Linked DNA regions of Drosophila melanogaster. The protein of the gene in region 1 interacts with the protein of each later gene in a pairwise test. Each region holds a gene or a part of one and is shown in the gene's direction. Other genes may lie near its edges.

Region 1 (10,396 bases):
TTTAAATACAAGCCACTTCATTAGATTATAGTTATTATTGGAATACAAAATGTATGTACATAAGTAGCAGATCTGTGGCCTGACATGGCCCAACCCAAGCTCATCTGAAATTTATGCTTTATAATTTCAAAGGCATAGGACTTTCCGTGAAAATGCAGAACTGACTTGTAAGAAGCGCGTGGCTCAAAAACAACTAGAACATAAACAGCCAAGCAAGAAAGATGCAAAGTAAAAAATGTTTTAATTACTCATCTCAAGGCGAATCCGTAGCCCCCTTTGCCCTACGCTCCTGCCGATTGACGCTTCGAAGGGCTGTGGATGAGGTCAAACACCAAAGAAAGTTCATGAAATTAAATGAGTTTCTTAAAATATATCTTATTCTGAGCAATCGCAATTTTTTTTCAATTTCAATATCCGATTTAACAACTTTTAAAAATTCTTTTTCCTAGTGCTCTGAGTTCCAGATTAGCTCCAGTACTGCAGAATCGTCAAAGTTCTTCTCGCAATTGTTGCTGTAACACTCGAATGCCTCCATTCTGATATTTGCTCCCCGTTTGCCGCCGTTGTGTGCTAAATAGTTCCCCCAGGGCCGAATCCACTCGAGTCGTGCTAATGAGAACACCCCAGTGACAAGGAGATGCTCACAAGGACGAGCGAGTTCAGATGCCAAAGGAGGCCTTTAATGCACGTTGCTGCATTATGCAATACTCGAGCAGGACGAAACAATATTTTACTGCAGTGCCGGAGTGGAGCGAAGTGTTCCCTGCCAAGAACGAAATGAGGAGGTGTGCAGATCCTTAGCCAGGACCTGCGGCACTGCAGCGTGCTCCATTTGCACACATTTCGACAAGGCAATTAATTATGCTAAACTCGTTTAGAGAAGGACAACAGGCCCATGCAAAAGAACAAAACAACTTTTGAATTGTAAAATCAATATAAATAATAAAAGTAGTAAATGATTTTATTTCTTGTGAATTGTGTCCACAATTTCAACTTGGAGCGTCTCATTTATTTTAAGCTAAATAAATCAAAACCACAAAGAAATCTAAGAAAAATCATAAGCCCATTAATCTTTTTCGCATCCGTTTACCGCTCGAAAGGCTCCGTAATTCATCCCTGTAATGTTGCGTGGCGTGCGGAACCACCTTTGACCAACGCATTGGATGACTTTTGAGTGGATCTAAGGCGGAGATCTCTGGCCGGAACACTGAGGTCCTGACATTTGCGCTGGCCATGCGCAATTAATTACAAAAGTGTTTGCGGACAACTGGGCTGATGGGGTGTTTATCCTGTGAACCCCAACTGGACATGGCCATGAGGAAAGCCATGCTGGCTTTCTTTTTGCCAGCCAGCTAGCCAGCGTTTATGGGGCTCAAGTGGTCCAGAGACCGAGAGAAGCGGCAGCTCATTGCTTTGAGGTTATTTGCTTTTAATGACTCGCAAACTACACCCGCACACACGGCGTATGCGTCATGTGTGTGGACTGCTTAAGTGTTTTCAGATATCGCGCATCAGTAGCCAACGACAGTCAGCCCTGGGCCCCATGGTTTGTTGACTTTTAGACGCTGTTTGTTTGTCAGCACAATTTTGCTTTCCTGTTTTTTTTTTATTTTTCATGTTTTTTTTTTTTTGCCCATATTTGTCCCATGTACTTTTTGGCTTTTCATCTTGGCATCGACGCAGACAAGCGGCCACATAAATGAGCTTTGAAGTTTGCATACGCGAGTGCAGGCAGTGCAGTCTCACTGGCTGAAGGGATAATGCGACGCAATTATAGACGGAGACTGAGACTGGGTCCATGTCCACCCCAACCCGGTTATATCCTTGAAAATAAATTGTTTTGTTAATTATTTATGGTTGGTTTAATGAGTGTGTGCCGTTCGCTGTGTGTTTACTGTACTCAGTGTTCGCTGGCGGTCTGGGACGTCGACTTCCATGTGTTTGTTATACTTTTGCATTTTGCAATTATTTTAATGAGTTTTGCATTTAAGCGATTTTATGCAATCATCGTCATTCGCAATAGTGTTGACTGCGAAAAGGGATATGTGCATAAATACGAATGTGCTGCATAATTGCCGTTTTTGCTTCATTAAAAAATATGTCTTTATATGGTCGGCAGACTCATTAAAAGTTGAATATATTTTATCTCATTAAGTTCTTTCAGGTCTTTCATTAGTGCGTTTGATTCGGCTTGATCAACGAATAATAATGCCCATATATTTAAATACTTGCCACTAGTATAAACTTAGTAAAAGTCAGATATCCTTTTCCCTTGACATCTATTTACATCTATTTTGAGTACAAATATAGAACAAAAAAATCTGTATTTGAGGAATCCAAAATTGTTAGTGCGAATCGAATTGAGCTAAGATAATGGAAGAACTTGTAGATCTGGATGAACCTTATCTGTATATGATTGGCATACCGACTGAACTTCGCGTGCACTGGGCCTACATAGTTGATTTTCTACGCCCAGAAGAGAATCGTCAACAAATCAACGACCCAAATGTGGAATTAGTGCCCCTCTCACAACGGCAATACCGAGAAGAGACTACGGACTTGGAAGTGGTGCCCTTACCACAAGAGCCGAGCATTGACCTATCTGGTGCTGGCGATGGACACCACGTCATTCCCCGGATCGGTGATAACGAAATGCCGACTGTGATTATCTTTCTGCCCAGAATAATGCCATTACCCTGGTCCAGTTTAAAGCGTCTGAAGCCGGTGATCATTGCGGCCTCAAATATTCTCTTCAGAAAGATACTGTCCCATTTTGGAATCGATTTAAATCAAGTCTTTGCCCTCGGCTTGTCATACAATACCCATTTAACAATATTTCACTGCTTTATGGAATACCTTACATCCTGGATAACTGGGTAACATAATTTTTCAGTACCCAAATTAGCTTATAATGTTTCGAATTATACTGTTGTAAAGTGTGCATTCAAATAAAAATGACATAATTTTTATTTTTAATCAAAAACAAAACTCTTAATTGATTGCGATTACTGATTGGGTGTTTATGATAACAAATTCAAATCATTTGAATGTGGTCCTAATATTCAAAACACTCCTCAAGGTAATCAGGTACTCATGGGTCCCTGAAGGGCTATTAAAAAAGACCGAAAATAGACCTTTAGCCCCCCAAGTATCGTTTGGGGTCTGAATTTCTTGGTCTGTATGAAATAATAATCGGCACTACACCTTGGTACAAATTCATAAACATTGTATAAGAAGTACCATCGAGTAATCGTCAATGGGAACTCATTTTACTAATCGCAAGGCAGCGATTAGAACCAATTAAGATACCAATTAAGATATGCATTGACTGGCGATCGCGAATACACTGAACTTGAACTTCGTAGTTAGAGTATCAGGTTTTACCTAAGCTTTTGGTTATCGTTAAACCGTTTTATTGGCCTTAAGCCTTAGCACAAGCCTCTCGAGGGTCTAAAGTGATTGCTTATCAGGCTAAAACCGTGTGGGGCCCTCCTATAAAAGCAGTTCCAATTTCTAAAGAAAGTCAGTTCTGTTCTCGAATCGAAACTGTATTCGCGGTCAGTTCGAAAACAAATTGTAAAGTCGTCGCCATGAAGTATTTGTGCGGCATTGTGCTTTTTGTGGCCCTTTTGGCCATCAGTGTGAGGCCATCTGAGGAGGCTTGTGGATACGAGGTGAGAAGTGAATGCCAGAATGCGACAGGAATAGAATATATGTGAAATTTGAAAAGGATGTAAATACCGTGAAAGTGATTAAATAAATTTACATTCCTTTATGCTCAAAAAACGGCAACAAAAATGCTTAATGAACATGACATTTAATGTTCAGGTTGCTAATCATCAAACCGATTTTGTTTTCAACCATTAAATACTATGGACTAACAAACAACTAAACCATTCAACGTTTATAATGCTTTTCAGGCATGCCCCAAAACCAAGACGAACATGATCAACATTCACATGGTGCCCCATTCTCACGACGATGTCGGATGGCTGAAGACCGTCGATCAGTACTTCTATGGTCACAGGAGTAACATTCAGCACGCTGGTGTCCAGTACATCATCGATACCGTAATCGCTGAGCTGATCAAGGATCCCGCCCGTCGCTTCATTCAGGTGGAGACCTCCTTCTTCGCAAAATGGTGGGCGGAGCAGTCGGAGACTGCGAAGCAGGTCGTGAGGAAACTGGTCAACGAGGGTCGTTTGGAATTCACCGGTGGAGCATGGAGCATGAACGATGAGGCCGCTGTAAACTACCAGAGTGTCATCGATCAGTTCACCTTGGGATTGAAGTAAGTGTTGCAAAAGAGGGGTTATAATGTCAGGAATCTAATGGTTATATGTTTATACCAGATTCCTGGACGACACCTTCGGTTCCTGCGCCCGTCCCCGCATTGGTTGGCAGATCGATCCCTTCGGTCACTCCCGTGAGCAGGCCTCGATCTTCGCTCAGATGGGATATGATGGAGAGTTCTTCGCCCGTATGGATCACCGCGACAAGAACGACCGTATCGACAACTTGGGCATGGAAATGATCTGGGATGCCAGTGATTCGTTGAGCAACGATGAAATCTTCACTGGCCTCTTGTACCGTCATTACTCGGCTCCTCCCGGCTACTGCTTCGATGTCCACTGCGGTGACGATCCGATTATTGACACCAAGAGCTACGACAACAACGTCAAGTCCCGCGTGGATGACTTCCTTAGCTACGTAACTTCGGTGGCCCAGCACTACCGGTCTAACCACATCATGATCCCCATGGGTGATGACTTCCAGTACGAAGATGCCCAGGTCAACTTCAAGAACATGGACAAGCTCATCAAGTAAGTGCTGAGGATCTGGATGATTGCTTACCCATACTCATCCTTTTGACTCCACCCCTAGGTACGTTAATGAGCGTCAGGCCGAGGGCTCCACCTTCAACCTTTTCTACTCCACCCCCGCTTGCTACCTCAACTCGCTCCATGAAGGTCTCCAAACCTGGCCCAACAAGACCCAGGACTTCTTCCCCTATGGCAGTGACGACAACAGCTACTGGACCGGATACTTCACCTCGCGTCCCACCCAGAAGCGCTTCGAACGCGATGGCAACCACATCCTGCAGGTGGCCAAGCAGCTCAGTGTCTTCGCCGAGCTGAACACCAAGCAACAGAAGGAGGACCTGGAGTACCTTCGCGAGATCATGGGTGTGATGCAGCACCACGATGCCATCACTGGAACCGAGAAGCAGCATGTATCCGATGACTATGATCGCATTTTGTATGATGCCATCCTCGGAGGAGTTAACACTGCTCGCGATGGTCTGCGCAAGCTGACCAATCTTCCCAACGGAGAGTTCGAGAGTTGCCTGCAGTTGAACATCAGCGAGTGCGCCTTCACCAAGGACGATGCCGACAACGTGGTGGTGACCCTGTACAACCCATTGGCCCACACTTCTACCCAGTATGTGCGCGTGCCTGTAAAGAACGAGAACTACGAGGTGACCGATGAGAAGGGCCGTGTGGTGGCCTCCGAAGTGGTTCCAGTTGCCTGGCAGGTCCTGGCCCTGGAGTTCCGCAACAATGATACCCAGCATGAGCTGGTCTTTAAGGCTTCCGTTGATAAGATCGCTAACTACTACATTAAGAAGGTCGCCAGCCAGGAGACAAAGAACGTCGCTGCACACACTAAATCGAAGAGGTCCATCAAGGCTGAAGAAGCTAACTTGGAGGTGCCTAAGCGTTTCAAGAAGGTTCACTCACTGAAGAATGCCACTGAGACCTTTGACGACGATGAAGGAGAGACTGTGGTGCAGACTTCGGTATGTTAATGATTTTCAGTTAATTTTGTATCTAAAGTAACATTTTGATTCCTACCTTTATTAGCAAGTCAAACTGGTGATCGACAACAAAACTGGTCTTCTGAAGACTGTCGAAATGAACGGAGTATCCGAGAACATCGACCAGAGCTACGGTGTCTACAGGACCTATGACTCCGGTGCATACGTCTTCCGTCAATATCACCAGGCTGACTTCATCGTCCAGTACGAAGGTGTTGAGTTCACCGTTTATGATGGAGCATTGGTCAAGGAAGTCCACCAGCAGTTCAGCGAGTACATTTCCCAGGTTATCCGCATCTACGAGGGCAAGAACCTTGTGGAGATCGAGTGGCAGGTTGGACCCATTGAGCGGGAAGAAGAGTTTGGCAGGGAAGTGGTTATCATCTTCAATAGTACCATTGCCTCCGACGGCGTTTCCTACACCGACTCCAATGGCCGTGAGATGATCAAGCGTGTGAAGGACCAGCGTGAGACCTTCACTCCCGGTCTGGACAGGCAGCCAACTGCAGCCAACTACTACCCGGTCACATCCCGCATTGCTCTGCAGGACAGCAAGAAGCGTATTGCCGTCCTGAACGATCGTGCTCAGGGAGGAGCCAGTATGCTTAACGGTCAATTGGAGCTCATGCTGCACCGTCGTCTCGTCCGTGATGATGGCTATGGAGTGGGAGAGGCCTTGAACGAGGAGAAGTACGGCCAGCCCATGATTGCCCGTGGAAAGGTGTACCTGATTCTCAGCCCCAGCGATGAGTCCACCGCCGCGGAACGCGAAGCCGAGAAGGAGATCCACCTGCCCTTCTGGAAGTTCTTCAGCAAGAACACTGGAAGCACCACGGCTGCTGCCAAGTCCGTTCCCAGCTTTAACGACTTCCCCAAGTCGGTGCATCTGCTCACTCTGGAGCCCTTCAACGACGATGAGGTTCTGCTACGTGTGGAGAACTTCTTGGATCACACCGAGGGCCAAGTGGTTAGCTTCAACATTCGCCCGATCTTTGACTACTTGAACGGTGTCGAAATTCGCGAGACTACCTTGGACGGCAACTTGCCATTGAGTGACATGAAGCGCTTCAAGTTCCACCACGACAGCTCGGGACAGAAGCCAGATGCTGTTGAGTACTTCACCTCCGCCCACAAGCCACTGGCTGCTGAGCAGTCCCAGGAGGCCTCCGAGTTCAGCGTCACCTTGCACCCAATGCAGATCCGTACATTCATTATCAAGACGGAGTAAACCAACGTTCTCAATGCAGTATTTCATGAAATGTAAATAATTTAATAAATAAATTCAATGTCGAAAATCTAAAGCCTTCGTTGGTTAATTATTTACAGAATTAAGGGTCTAATTATGGACAATATATTTTATTGATATTAGGAAACTGATTAGCTAAACTTTATCATGGCTAAAGAAAGGAAATGTTTGATGTTCGGGCAATCGCTGCTAATATAGACTCCTCAATTTGACGTTTATTAAAACGTAAATATATAAAACTTCAGTTTTAATGCCAAATAAAACTCACTATGCAGCATATATTCCTTTGGTCTATTATTCGACTGAAATTTATTTTTATTAATTTTTTTGCATAAATAAAATCAGATTAGAATTAAGTGTTGATTTCGTATTATTCGAAATATAAATTCCGTTTCAAGTAAACTAAGGTTAACTCAAAAAATATTTTTATCGTTAAACTATTTGTAAACTTGATTCCCCACAGATTATTTAGTATCCGTATGCTATAAAGTGCGGATCGTGTCTTAGGCATTTTTCGTTTCATTACGTCATAAATATAAAAAGATTAGAATGGAAAGCCCTGACAGGACTACATTACGTCTTAAATATATGAAAATTTAAATGGAACGCCTAGATAACGCTAGAATTTATTTTTTTTTTCTCTCTTTTTATTTGCAATCTGTTCTAAAAAAGTATGACAATAAGTATATTTTATAATTAATCTTAAATTAACAGTAGGGATTAATGGTTAACTATTTCTATCCATTAATCCCTACTACCTCATACTCTATGCATAACATGTTTTAATACTTAATATCTGTCCGGGAGATCTAGCACGTTAAATCTTTTAAGTCTCCTTCTTTATTTAGAATTTAAATATTTTGGATCTCTACTTTTGTAGCTTAGAACTAACATTAGTAGAAACTTGAAAACAAGAATCCACGATAGTCGCATAAGTGCTTTGCTGCTAAGGAGAATTCAGGTCACCATGAGTGGTTTGTTGGCTTTGGATTATTCTATCGTTAGCCTTGATACTTCACTGTATCTCACTACCACTTTGCGTGGGTCTTTCCAATTTCCAAATAAAAGTAACTAATGTGTTGCTATAGAGCATGATACCTTCTGATAATTTCTAGTACAAACCCATAAATGGTCTTTTGGATGCAATCGGCAACTACAAATTGATATTACTAATCAGCAGATTAGCACTGCAACTCTGTCAAAACAGAAGCAATCTTTTATGGAGGCCTATTAAGATACAAGTTCAATAATGACCAGTAGTAGCAATAAGGTTCATTTGTTTATAAGTTAAACCATTGATCGAAGCGCAGGCGTCATTAAACCATTATGATTAAAATACACTTAACTGAATTTTAAGTGCGCTTGAGCTTACGTAATCCGATAATGCATTCAAGTACCGATTGCTTATCACCAATCTCTGATATAAATGGGCCAGTTTTCAAAACATAAGAATTCAGTTGTGGTTCTAACCTGGAACCATCAGTTACATCGATTTGTAAGATAGAGGAATACCACAATGAAGTTCCTGGGCATCGTCCTTTGCGTTGCCTTTTTGGCCCTTCAAGCTAAGTCAGCCCAAGCTGTTTGTGGCTATGAGGTGAGGAAAAGGATCCTTTTACACGAATTGTTTAAACTAATAAAATACTTATTGTTTTTTAGTCTTGCCATGAAACCAAGTCAAACATGATCAACATACACTTGGTGCCCCACTCCCACGACGATGTGGGCTGGCTGAAGACCGTTGATCAGTACTACTATGGCCACAGGAATAACATTCAGCACGCTGGAGTGCAGTACATCATCGACACCGTGATCTCCGAGCTGATCAAGAACCCCGATCGTCGGTTCATCCAGGTGGAGACATCCTTCTTCTCCAAATGGTGGAACGAGCAGTCGGAGACCATGAGGGCAGTCGTGAAGATGCTGGTGAATGAGGGTCGCCTTCAGTTCATCAATGGAGCCTGGAGTATGAACGATGAAGCTGCCGTAAACTACCAGAGTGTGATCGACCAGTTCACAGTCGGATTGAAGTAAGTTATGCCGGTATAACCTCTTTGGAAAAAAAATTGTAAAACCATTTTCATAAAAGGTTCCTCGATGACACTTTTGGAGTTTGTGGTCGTCCTCGTGTTGGATGGCAAATCGATCCCTTTGGTCACTCCCGTGAGCAAGCCTCTATCTACGCTCAGATGGGATTCGATGGCGAGTTCTTTTCCCGCATGGATCACAACGACAAAGGCAGGCGGATGAACGATCTGGCTCTAGAGATGATTTGGGATGCCAGTGAGTCGTTGAGCCAAGTCAAGCTCTTCACTGGACTCCTGTACACCTTCTACTGGGACACTCCCGGCTTTTGCTTCGACGTTCACTGCAGCGACGATCCAATTATTGACAGTGATAGTTACGATAACAACGTCAAGTCAAGGGTGGATGATTTCATCGCCTACGCCGCTCAAGTTGCGGAAAAGTTCCGCACAAACCACATTATGATTCCAATGGGCGGTGACTTCCAGTATGAAGATGCCGAGGTTAACTACAAGAACATGGACAAACTGATCAAGTAGGGAGAGAATCTGGTTACTTTAAGTTCTGTGTTTTCTAATTCTTCTTATATCTATATTAGGTACGTCAACGAACGTCAATCCAGTGGCTCAAAGTACAACATTATCTACTCAACACCCACTTGCTACTTGAACTCCGTGCACAAGAGTGTGCAGTCCTACCCAAACAAAACTCTGGATTTCTTCCCATACGGCAGTGATACTAACAGCTTTTGGACTGGTTATTACACCTCCCGTCCCACACAGAAGAGATTCGAGCGCGATGGCAACCACATTCTTCAGGTGGCCAAGCAGCTGAGCGCCTTTGCGGAGCTCTCGAGTACACAACAGAAGGAGGATCTAGAGTACCTTCGCGAGATCATGGGTGTGATGCAGCACCACGATGCCATCACTGGAACCGAGAAACAGCATGTGTCCGATGACTACGATCGCATTCTGTACGACGCTATCGTCGGAGGAGTCAAAACTGCCGGCGATGCCCTTCGGAAACTGACCAATCTTCCCAACGGAGAGTTCGAGAGTTGCCTGCAGTTGAACATCAGCGAGTGCGCCTTCACCAAGGATGGCGCCGACAACGTAGTGGTGACCCTGTACAATGCATTGGCCCACACCACCAAGCAATATGTGCGAGTGCCTGTGAAGAACGAGAACTACCAGGTGACCGATGAGAAGGGCCGCGTGGTGGCCTCCGAAATTGTTCCAGTGCCAGCGGAGGTCCTGGCTCTGGAGTTCCGTGATAGCGACACCCAGCACGAATTGGTGTTCAAGGCC
Region 2 (12,522 bases), 4.4 Mb from region 1:
TTGACCATCTTGACGCGCTCCTCCTCGGTGAAGACCGGTGGTCCCTTGTGCTTGGTGATCTCCTCGTCGGTGTGAATGCCCACAATTACCTTATCGCCAAGAGCCTTGGCTTGTCGCAGAGAATTGGCATGTCCGAAGTGTACCATATCATAGCTGTTGAGGATGGAAGGAGGATAGATATGTCAGTACAAGAATAGATACATTGTTTTTTTTTTTTTTTATCAAGCGCGTGCCAGTGAACAAGCAAACATGACCTTATTAGTTACCTCCGGAAATGTTGTCTGCCATTCGTGGAAGTTTAATAAATTCTAAGATAACTAAGACTGCAACGATTGCCGCGAGACCTTGACAAATAGCTAATGGAAACGATCTTGCCTCTACCAATATGACTCAGAAAATGGCATATATTTCATAAAATTAGCAATTTTTCAAGCTCGCAAGATAAGCCGTGTTTAACTTCGAGACTTGCCAAAAAAAAAAAAAAAAAAAAAAAACAATTATCGCATGGAATGTGCATACATACATACGTATAATGAACCTTAGGCCCAACAAAAAAAAACCACTTGTCTTGACGCTCAGCTGGAATCCTGGTCATTTAGTTAATGGTGGAAGCTAGGTCGAAGCAGTACTGCTAATGACCCCCAGACGATAAAGTAATAAAGTGGTTCGAGCAAGCCATTTACATAGTTTACATAAACCGCTGTCGAAGCGCGTCAAAGATGTCTGGTCGAGTGCTTTTAATGACCAGTAGCTGACGGACTGACCACCGGTGACTATAGAGGCGGTTTGTGTGCTCCACTTTTGCCCAGCATTGGTCAAGAGATTGATCTTTGGACTCGATCATCAGAGTGGGTATGCCAAAAATGCCGAGAGAGAGATGGATGAAGCAACCGGGACAGGGGATATCAATAAAACCGCATTTGCTGCTCGTTGTTTTGCAATTCTAATTGCAATTATGAACGCTGCTGCGTCAGCTTTTCAGTGGCCACATATACGCAAACATCGCCATTCAGCTTGTTTACATTCTCCGCCGATTCTAGGCATTATGGTTATAGGCACACGTGCCCTGGCCTGGTTTTTGTTTGGCTTGGGAAAGCGATAATAGCATCCGGGGGACGTGAGGCGTTGCACAAATTGCACTTAACACCAATTATGAAGGTATTTATTTTTTCCACCATAGGTACATTGTAATTGTAAGTATTTATAAAATAATTCATATTGAAACCTGCTCTTTTGGAAAATGATTCACCCAGCGGGCTTTGTGCAAACATTTTTTAACATAACATGCAAAAGGTAACCACTTAACTAAATGGCGGGTGATAAGAAATAATACCGTCACCATCGACGGTTTCTTCGGTAATCGATTGTGAGGAGTTCATTTGAAATAGATAGACGGAAAGTATTTTAAGTACTGCTTCCATTGAAGATTAGAGAATTCCCAAGAAAATAGTTGTACTCAAAACAAACTGGATCTTTAACTGAAATGAAATTTAAATGAAATGCAATGCCCCTGCATGCACGCCTAAAAATAAAAGATGGATTATGCCAGCTAGTCCCTTGACTTGCCCAGATAGTAACAAATGCGGAGAGATGACCACCACCATAAAAAGCAGCTAGTAAAAACGTGGGCCATTCATTAATCGAAGCGAAACCTTTGCTCCCGGAGATTTTTTTGCAGCGCACCAAGAAATCTGTGCCGAACATACTATACCCATATTAGCATTGTTGTACTCTATATGTAGAACAGACCCAGGGGCCGCTTAATCAATTGAGTGAGCTAAAAGCAGCGACAACACCAGCGACAGCAACGCCGACGCCCGTTTGCTGATTAAAAAATATCACGCGATTCTCCGTAGAATTTGTGCTCTGTCGTCCGGACCCCAGAGCCTAGTAAAGTGGATTGACTTGGTGGGGTAAAGTATGCCATATACATAGATCTTATACTACAGCACACATGTACATATATGCCCCGCCTTAAGGCCCCGGACTCTCTTATTACGAGAGCTTCCCATTCATTTGTTATTTCCACTGGCAGAGGTTCATTGACTTGGGTGGAAAGGAGGAGACAAGCCAAGCACTTGTGCCTGCGTCAATGATCAATCTCTGCTGATTAGAATGATTTTTGGGTCCAAGTGCCCCACATACATACGTGCTTTCCCCATCTGATGGGTTATCAGATTCCATCAGATTCCACGCAAATATTATGTTTATACTTGTTGTTCGTGCCCATGAGCAGCTGATGTGGAATTTCAGCGATTGGAGCACGACTACGTAGGTCGTTCTTATCTGTCGCAGCTAGAGGACTTCCACACTGGTGACAGGGAGCTGTGACCCGTTGACAATGGACATAAGGGAGCATAGACTGCCAAAATTACCCGGAAATGCCAATGAGCATGATGTATATGTTTTAGGTTTAAATCCATAAATTAGGTGACATTTTCTAATCTTGCTTCAGGGCATTCGCAATTGGATTCTAAAAGTTTTGCCATATGTATGTTTTTGCTTAGGCAGAAGTATACTATAAGATTGAACCACCTCTTAATAATAAATGGATATGGTTTAAAAAACCCTTTTAAAATAAAGACGATCCCTTGCGATTATTTAGTCAGTACAGGAGAGGCCCAGCGAAATGCCAATTAAATTGGGCACACAAAAGACCGCCAGACGATGACGACAGCATTGTGGGTCAATGGCGAGGCAATGGCAATGATGGTGGTGCAAAAGGGGTGTGGGGTCCATCGCCGAGGCGGAGGGCATGCGCATGCCAGAATCACGTGATGTTTGCGGACGGACGACCGGCGGGCAGCCACAGTCAACAAGGGCCACGTAAACGCAGCCCTCATCCGAAAATCTGAAGCCTCAAAAACAGAAGAGCGGAAGGAAAGGCAGGCTGTTCAGATACAGTGGGTTAGCCAGAGCACATGTATATGGCACATATATGTATGTACATTTGCTTGTTGGGCGTGTGCCATTGTTTATACGGTGAGTAGAAATACAAGGAAATAAGAGAAAGAGCGAGGGCGCATATAAACAATGGGTATATTTTTATTTTTACCGACTGGCGGTAGCCACAATTGAGGAAATTTCTATCGTCCCCCAATGAAGCAAACTTGTTATGGTAGGCCATCTATCCATCCGTCCATATCGCAGTCTAACGCGTCATTACCGATAAAGATAAACCGGTTTCTGATGATGCATTGCACGGAATCAAATAATTATATATATATATATATATGGGGGAACGCAATGCCTATAGAACCATTTGATGGTGCCCAAAACAAGGCAAAGTGCGTCAATAGTATCTATATGCGGATCTAAAATACATAGATGCATTAGATGAACCGAACACCCGGTTTATCACATATAGCAATTAATTATTGTGCAAACTAATTTGGGATATATGTATTGTTGTTAGCTTAAGCGCCATAAAGAGTGCGAGTATCGCCGGAAAAGGCAAATTAAACATTTTCTCTGAGTAATCTGTTTTAGAATAGCCACTGTAAGCGTACAATTATAAATAGATTGCATAGCGTATAAATATAAATATAATGCCAAATGTCCCGGTCAAGCGTGGAGAATATGGACATTTCGGATCCGAGAGACCTTGAACCTGAATTATGTAGACATTTCAGCCGGACGACGGCAATGGGTGGATATTTGGAACGGGCAGCGAGACGGCACCGTTTCACAAAGATTTGCTAATCAATTGAGGAACCCTGGACGCTTCTTAGCACGCCTAAAAATGGGGTTTAGTTTATCGTCGACTGATTACGGTTATTGGTATTGGAAACCAAATTGGAATTGAAATAGTAGGGTTCGGTTGGCCGTGGTGTGGCATGGAATCGATGGCACCGACGCGGAATGGTTATGCTTTGACTCACTTTACCGTTAGCGGTGAGTAACGACGTGACGCAATGGGCTGCCCTAAGAACCGTTAGACATTGTGGACCGAATTCCTGGAGGCCCCTAAATGTAATGTAGATGACTCACCATCCATCGCACCAGACGCGCACATCCTTCCGCTGCTTGTCCGAATACCCATTGCAGGCGCTGGTATCGCCATTTGCCTCCATCGTTGACTTATTGAATTTTCACAATTTAATTTAATTTTAATTTAGAATCCGGCTAACGGGCGAACATTAGATTCCGGAGAGTATGTTTCTGTTTTCAGTGCTCGTTTTGAAGGCGGAAACTCGACGACAGCGACGTTCACGCTTCGAGAGCTGTAAGTTATTTGTTCTGAGCTACGACGACGCCCGCTATATATCAATTCCCATTTCACGACCGAGCTACTCAGTTCAGTTTTCGTTATCGGTTTCGGACTCGGATTCACGTTCAGACTCGGAGCGGAATTGGTCTCAGATTCTCAGACTTGCGTTATCAGCGCGCGGGCGCATGGGAACTTCTTTGGGGCGTAAGTGCGGTGTGTTTAGCTTGGGTTTTTTTTTAGATTCTTTCATTTCTTTTCTCACAATTTCGAGTACCGTGAGAGCAGAGTGGCCGCATCGGTGTTTGTCCAAATATACCATATGCCTGGTGCGATGAATACCAGCTAACGCGGATTTTGTAAACATCAACAGCTGATCGAGATATATTGGGAATAACTTTAAATTGGCAAATTTTATGTTACTAAGCTAGAACTTTTATATTAAGCAAGTACAAATCTGTATTATTATACGTTAAAAGGGTATTAACTCTATTAAATCCTTATGAGTCGATCACCCCAATGAAATGTATAATATTTTAGGATATAACAAAGTGTTTTGTTTATAAATAAATGTAAATATTGTCACAACAATTATTAAAAAAAAAGTGTCATAGAATTAAACAACGAACACTACTAATAACATTCACAATTAAAATTTTTTTTTTCATTTTAAAGGTATATTTTATTGATTGATCCCACTGTAAAAATAATACCGATGGTATTTTAAGAGGCATATTGGCCATGGCGATGTGAGATAATACTACGGTGTTTCCCACGGTCACACAGGATAAAGCAACTTAAAATATTAAGCCTATCAAATAAGAAATATACAACGCACAGCACGCAGATATACGAAAAATAACAATCGAAGGAAACCGACCAAGCCATGATAATGTAATCATGATCGTCCACAGTCAGTTCGGGCATTGTTTTGTAGACAGCATCAAGTATATTTTTTAAATTTCACGTGCTAAATTTACAAGAAATCCTACCACAATTACTAAACGAGTCGACGAGGGCTAGATAATCCCAATCCCATTCCCCGTACCAACGCGATGTCCAGAAGAGAAGCCAGCCTGATGGCCTACGTAGCGGCGGAGGAACACCTACTGAACCGGTACTCGCCGCTGGAAGGCGACGAGATAGATACGGCCAGCGAAGCTCCAGGCGACGCATCGGACGTGGCTGAGGATCGGGAGTATCCCACGGATCTTGTTGCATCTGTCACCAGATCCTCGAGGACGGGAGCAGATCTGGACCCCGCCGTGGACAGCAACCTGCACGTGATCTCCGACGACTCGGACACCCACAGCTTTATCTCGAGTGGCAGCGGCTTCAAGGGCTGGCCGGAGGAGCAGCCGTCTTCCAGTTTCGTCCCTCAGAATGAACCCTTAATATTCGGACTTCGCCGGCAAATGATGATGACCGAAGAGACACACCAAGCCCCAGTATGGGCCACCTGCACACCGGCAAAACGTTCGTACAGCAGCCACGAGGTCATCGAGATCAACGGTTTGTTAATCTGTTCCATTAACTATACAAGGAAATCTCTTCCATTTAATTGATTATGAACATTTATCCCAATTGAAAATATGAAATATCTAATATGGTAAACTCACTCAATCGCATACTTTTCTTGTTTTTTAGACTCACCCGAATCTGTCCAGGATCCGGGCATTGCACTAAGCCCCGGCATGCTGCTGACAAATGGCAATGTTGACCAGTTCGAAATGCTGTCCCACGAGAATGATGAGGCTGAACATGAACTTCAGGTGGCCGAAGAAGGGGAGCAGTGTGTGATCTATGAGGCTGTGGATGGAGAGAACATGGTCGTTTTAGGAGAAGAACACTGCTGTGAGATCATAGTAGCTACCCAGGGAGTGGCATGCGAGCAGGAGTTCGCCAGGGCCATCATGATGGCCGGAAACGGTACCGGTGCATTGCTGGGCTTGCTGTCCGAGGAGAGTGATGCGAATGAGTGTCTCAATGGGACTGCCTACATCGAGGAGGTCGTGGAGGATATGGGTGTGGCCGAGGCACGATTGGCGGCTGGAAACAATGTGTACCTTAGTGATGCAGCGCTAGAACAGCCTTTAGTGCACCAGGATCTGGTCGACGACGAGGCTCCGGAGGAAAACGAAAACGCCACATTCTTAGACGATACACCGATGGAGGAGGAACGCCCAGATATTTGTCAGGTGTATGATCACGAACTGGAGGACCACGACGATGAAGAATGCGAGGACGCAGTCATCCAGGAAGAACCAGCCCAGCCTATCGACATTGTAGCATTCGAGGGACAGGAGCCGCTGCCAAATAATCCGCAAAGAAAGTTGCTTCGCGAACACAGCAGTCCCACGGAATTTCCCGTCAGCTCATCCTCCATGCCCAACGCCAGTGACCACTACGACTATGAGGATGAGTTAACGGGCGGCCGCTCTCCATCCAAAGTGGCTCCACTGAAGCGAAAGTATCCGCCGCTGATGAAGAATACGCTCCATGGAGAGGCTATGGATCGAAGACTGGCAAGCATTTGTCAGGCTCAGCCGCAGATGAGTCCCGCCGAGAAAGTCTCCAACTGGGAAACGGCACCCAGGGAAGAGTGGGCCGATGTCGAGGATGTGGAAGGCTTTGAAGCTGCCTTCAAGCAATATGAGGCTGTTACCGCATCACTCAAACAGCTTAACTTTGCCGAATTCCGTGAAGCACTGGTCCGGAATATGGAGAAGATCAGCCGTGAAATCATGCAAACCTCAGACGAATCCACTCAAGAGCTTGCCAGCTCTCAGTCGGCGGAACGGCCGGTGTATCGTCGCTATTTGCACATTCTGCCCACCGAGGAGACAATTGTGCTAGATGATGATGACGACGATTGCTACGAGGTGGTCGGCATGGAAAAAGCCTCTGTCACCACATTGATACCCGAAGAGGAGCTACAGGATAATCAACAGCCGGAGGAAGAAGAGATAGTGCTGCCAGTTGTTGATGACATAAAGAACACGGATTCACCGAATTTCGAGCAGCGGAACCTTACCAAGGAAACATCTACAGCAGACTTGGAGAGAAGCGCGCTTACTCAAACGGCGGGTTCATCCGCTGCGAATTTAGACGCATCCTTATCCCATGCTCAACCTTGTCCAACTGCTCCGGCAGGACTTACTGATTTTATGCAGGCGAACTTAAGCGACCGTGGGCCATCAGAAGACCAACAACTAACCAAAGCTGTATTAGATGTTATGCGTCAGCAGGTGCAAACAATGCAACAGCAACAGCAGTTTATGGAGCAAAAGATGAACCAACAACCACAGATGTATCACTACGAGGAACTGCCACAGGCTCCCCAACGTAAGACTTTTTATTTGTATTTTATTGCAAATTTAATTGGTTAATTTAAATTACAGAGATGCAAATGGAAGGGAATCAGGGGCCTTACGTTAAGTATCCGAATGAGCAACAGGAATTCTGCAACTATCTGGGTCTCACCGAACTGTCAACAGCAAATGCCGTGGCTACCGCAATGAGGGAACTAGCCAACAGCACTATCCCTCGCCGATCGCTGCGGGTGAGACCACAACAGCAACTGGACAGGATGCGTAGTGATGTGCGTGGCAAGCGGCGCGAAAGGGAGCGAGATAGGCAGCAGGATAAGGACAAGAAGATACCGTTGACCACAAGTAGTGAGCTTAGCACCGATAAAGAAGAACCCTCCCCGCCTCAGACATCAGAATCCGTTTCAAGGATGGCGGGGGATGCGGATGTCCATTTCAACTCTCAAATGCCTGCAGAGCATAAGCGAAAACTGAATCACTTGTACAACTCTTATTTTGCGGAAGAGGAAGAATGCTCTACGAAGAGGTCACCCAAAACCACCGACTTTATAGCCAGTTCCAAGTCCTTAAAGGATGTAGAGAGGCGTCCATCGCTCAAAGGACAGGAGCCGCAACGTCATAGATCCATCATTGATGGCGACGGCTATCAGAAACATCAGATAGACAATGAGTCTGAGAAGGGTCGGGTTCAGTCCGTTGAGGCGGCTTTTACTAAGATCTTCGAGGCTGCCGCACCTGCCCAATCCAAGCTGCTGGAGAGCATGCAGCAACGCTTGCGCCAGGCGCGTGAGACGAAGCCATCAATTTATATTATTAAGGCTACAAGCAATGCCTCGCCCCCGAATCCATCACACAGCAGGCAGGAGTCTCACATCTCACCGGCGCCCTTGAACTTAATCGGCGGCTTTGGTGACGTAAGCGCGCCGCATCCTTCTGTCATTTCCCAGCCAGCGAAGAAAAGTCCTACAATAACCAGTCCAGATAAGGAAACTCCAGCCCCCTTACCAGTTGATACACCCAAAAAATCAAAACATAGGAAAACCCATGGAGCCACCAAACCTGTTGCCGCTACACCACGACGCCGCACTACAATGGGTGCATCCAGTCTCGGGAACGAAGCACGTGCACGCGATTTGGTTACCCGCTCCACCACGCATCTTAATTCGAAGCTACTTCGTAGCCGCAAGGTTAGTCTGCTCAAGAGCTACGCCCTGTCGGACGAAATGGCTCAGGGACGATCGAAACGGATGGCTGGCGGTGCAGCACAAACCACCAAAAAGGCTCCAATGCCCAAGGCAGCACGGACGTCGTTAAAGAAGCCGGCAGATAAAAGTCTTCCTGAGCAACATCGCTTGGAGCAACAGCAATTGGCTCCGCCAAACTCTCCCCGAAAGATGAAAGGTGTCAAGGAGACTGAAACTGACACGACAAGTGCAATGAAATCTAGTCGCCTTACTAAACGGACCAAGCGAGCACGAGCCAAGTCACTGCCTTCGAATATTGAAAGGGTGACTGAGCCTGTGGCAGCCGTTCCTAATGCCAATGTATTGAGGCTCGCTGACCTGGCACCAGAAGTGCCCAACACATTCGCGCCTACACACAGCCATCTGGTCAACTCCACAGCCAAAGAAGCCGCTGACAAGACCTTCGTTCATTCCCCCTCCGTCGCTCAATCGCCTTATGCACAGCCCGTGCTTATTTACCCGCCATCCCCAACAACACCGCCACCGAATACGGAGCCACATCGCCCTCGCCAGCAAGCCGGAAAAGTCAATCCAGCTGACTTAGTCCTGGCCACCCCTCCTGGGGGCCTGCTGCGACTCAGTCAGGGATCCGCGACGCTAGCAAATCCACTTTCTGCCAAGCACGGCCAGGTTCTCTATATGTACTACGAGCTGGAACAGCTCATTGTGCTGCAGGAGAATTGCATTACCTTCTGGAAGTACTCCAAAGTGTTCAACGTGCTGCATCAACCGCGACATAATCCCTCCTTTGATGGCGCCAGAAAATCTCCATCTCCAAAGCTGCCTCAAACACCTTCGCGCGAGCCCAAAGACGTCGAGCAGGAGTTGAAAATGGGCCCGCGATGGGTTTACCTGGGCAGAGTGCGGCGCCTGACTAGCGGTGGGTTATGATCATTTATACACTTTACGAATCTTTCTAGCCTCTTTGATGCATTACAGAGAAAGAGATCTTTACGCCGTTTGGCAGCCGCATTTGCGTGCACAATTCGACGCCGGTGTACCTGGAAATGCGAAGCAGGCCGCTGGACCATCACAAGAGGGAGGTGAAGCTAACCTCGCTACATGTGAATGTGTATTACTTCTGCGAGGAGGAACTACGACCCCGTATGCACTCTGTGCACTTGGATGCTGTCAATTGGTGAGGACTATCACGCAGTATGCATAAATTCAATGACGTAACCTACAACTTTCGTTATTTAGCGAATGGCCGCATGTCATATACACAACTATAGCGGATTCGCGTTACTTCGTTATGGCATGGCAGCAGGAACTGGTGATGGGCAAGTCGCGCTCGGGCATTTGCAAATATTCACTGACGCCCACGCTGGATACGCTGGCCTCCATACGGGAGTTTAAGCAGTTGCGCCACGAGCTGCGTCACATTGAGTGCCTTTCAGAGGATCGCCTTATCGGCTACGGCCAGATGCGCATCACCGTCTGGGATCATCGCAGCGGCGATACTCTGATGAACTACGACTTGGGCCGGCCGCTGGGCCGTTGCCTGGCTGCTACGCACTATCCTAGCCTCGACTTGGACCAAAGCAGCATGCTGGTGCTTTATCAGCTGCTTAAAGAACCAAACAAACCGTCTGAGGTGCATGTGATCGCCTGTGAGCTTTCCCATGCCACGCCCTCGCACCGCCTGCTGCAGGTCCACCGCTTACCATCGCCGCAATTCGACGATGCCACGGAGGGCGTTAACACCGGTGATCATCTGATCATCAAGTCAGCATCGAACGACGAAGCCTGGATAAGTGCCGCCGATCCGAGACAGCTAACCTATTTGGCGCCGCAAATCAATGGAGCTCAGCGTTTTTATGCCCGCCACAAGTCCCAAGTGATCGAGATGTCCCCGCAATCCCTAACTGTAGATAGTATCGCCAATCACATGTTGAAATTGGCTGTCCAGCAGACCCAATCGGCGTAGACCTGTGTCGCGGAACTAGAAATGTGGAGAGTCTCGGCCTTGAACAAAGTTTTTGTTTTTTTTTTTCACACAAACCCATGTTTGAATATCACCCAGAATACCCGATCTATAAATGTGCTTTTGGCTGTCTGCCCAAGTATAGTTCAAATATAGGAAACTATAATAAGTTGCGTGTTAAGCCCTGTAGTCCTAACAATCATTTTAGTCGTAAGTAAGTCGGAGAGTAGTAGCCTTTATTATGCGCTATTTTGAAATAAGTGTTTTTGTTTCTTTCGTTCTTTTTATTTTTTCTAAAAGAAAAACAAAACTAGCTTAAGCTATCGTAGTTTTAGGCATATGAATTCAACTGTTTGATTTGCTACTATCGACTGAAGTAGTAAATTTGTCATATTTTTAAGATTAATGGAAACACCAAAATGGAAAGAAATTAATGTCATTAAAACGGAAATCTATTAAAAATACAACGTTTTTGTTTGCATCAATTGCATCTAGTCGATTCACAGATATGTTGTCATCCACAATAATTTGGTTTATAATACTCGATCACGGATTTCGAGACTGCCTTTGGACTCGCATCCTAACGAAGTTGGTTTTTTACTTCAGTTGAATCTTGATTATATGGATGAGCCGGTCACCGAGATCTTCGTGTATTGGAGTACAAGGGAAGGTTAATCCTATAAGATCTCAGGGGTAAAATCATAGCTGGCTCTTGAGTATTAATGATAAAACGAAAATGCCTTTGGTTTTTAATTATAGTTCGTATATTTTAAACTAATTTTGTATAATATCTAATCAATTTCAACTACTCTGTTGTCGATCAATTCCGACTGTCTACCCTATAAACTAACTTCTTAAAACTAATCATTATTTACGATTTTGTTAGTCTCTAAGTTCTAAGTTTTTATATACAGAAGTTTTACTTACATCAAAAAAGTAAAATCCATCGAAAAAATTGTGAGGTGGACCAAATATACAATTAGAATGAACGCGAATGCGATGCTATTCGGTTATAATATAGCCACTAGGAAGCCAATTGCCTGCCTGAGAACCAACCACGAAATGCAAAGATCCCTAAACTGAGTTCCATAACTCGTGGCATTAAATCGCTCTTACATGTCTAGTAAAGTACAGGAAATTCCAATTTAGTTACGTTCGCTTACTGTACACACGTTACGAATATAGAGAATATACATATCTCTATTTTGGCGAGAACCATTTCAAGGCTGTATCAAGCCCCAAAAGAAGAGTAAACGCTGAGGGTGCTCCGGCAGCCGTAGCAGTCCACTACAATTCTTTTTCCGGTTTCTGTGCTACCGACGCTGTTTGGTTCTGGCGCTGCTCCTTGGCCAGTTGCCACCGCTTAAACTCCACCATCTGCATGACGCGAACACGCAGAGGTTGTTTCCGTCGCTGCATGACCGCCGACAGTTTGCCGAACTCCATGCTGTACATGAATACGACTGGAATGAGCACGTCGTCCTTGCCGTCGCCAGACATTGCGAACATCGGCTGCGTCTCACCGGAAGAGCCCGGAACATTATCACAGACAATCAGCGCCGCCGCCCCCACCTTCTGGGCCAGTCGCGCTTTGCTAACGAACGTGCAATCGCCGCGCTCGGCCACCAGGACCTTTCCTTTCGCCTCCTCGGCGTTCTCTAGGCTCTCATCGCATGCTCGTAGCGGCTTGGCCAGAATCACGTCCCCTTCGACGAACTGATCGCCAGTTAACTCTGGGCTAAAGTGCGACGGCCCGGCCATCAGTGCGATCCAATCCTGTGAGTTCTCGTCAGTGGCGTAGGCAACGGCCTATAAACG

Evidence for each region.
Region 2: the proteins of LManVI (region 1) and CG16972 interact in a two-hybrid assay, tested with the Drosophila melanogaster proteins (one large-scale study listed by BioGRID).

What each region holds. Positions count from the first base shown.
Region 1 is NT_033779.5:8,774,381-8,784,776, reverse strand, and holds LManVI (lysosomal alpha-mannosidase VI), read left to right. Parts: upstream 1-3,524; 5' UTR 3,525-3,590; coding exon 3,591-3,674; intron 3,675-3,920; coding exon 3,921-4,291; intron 4,292-4,352; coding exon 4,353-4,823; intron 4,824-4,884; coding exon 4,885-5,800; intron 5,801-5,864; coding exon 5,865-7,046; 3' UTR 7,047-7,116; downstream 7,117-10,396. Other genes in the region: CG42710 (uncharacterized protein), read left to right, coding at 2,374-2,880; LManV (lysosomal alpha-mannosidase V), read left to right, coding at 8,581-8,661, 8,724-9,094, 9,154-9,624, 9,688-10,396.
Region 2 is NT_033779.5:13,195,741-13,208,262, reverse strand, and holds CG16972 (uncharacterized protein), read left to right. Parts: upstream 1-4,967; 5' UTR 4,968-5,262; coding exon 5,263-5,719; intron 5,720-5,854; coding exon 5,855-7,552; intron 7,553-7,608; coding exon 7,609-9,660; intron 9,661-9,719; coding exon 9,720-9,918; intron 9,919-9,980; coding exon 9,981-10,707; 3' UTR 10,708-11,161; downstream 11,162-12,522. Other genes in the region: Pect (phosphoethanolamine cytidylyltransferase), read right to left, coding at 1-153, 3,991-4,073; Edem2 (ER degradation enhancer, mannosidase alpha-like 2), read right to left, coding at 11,992-12,513.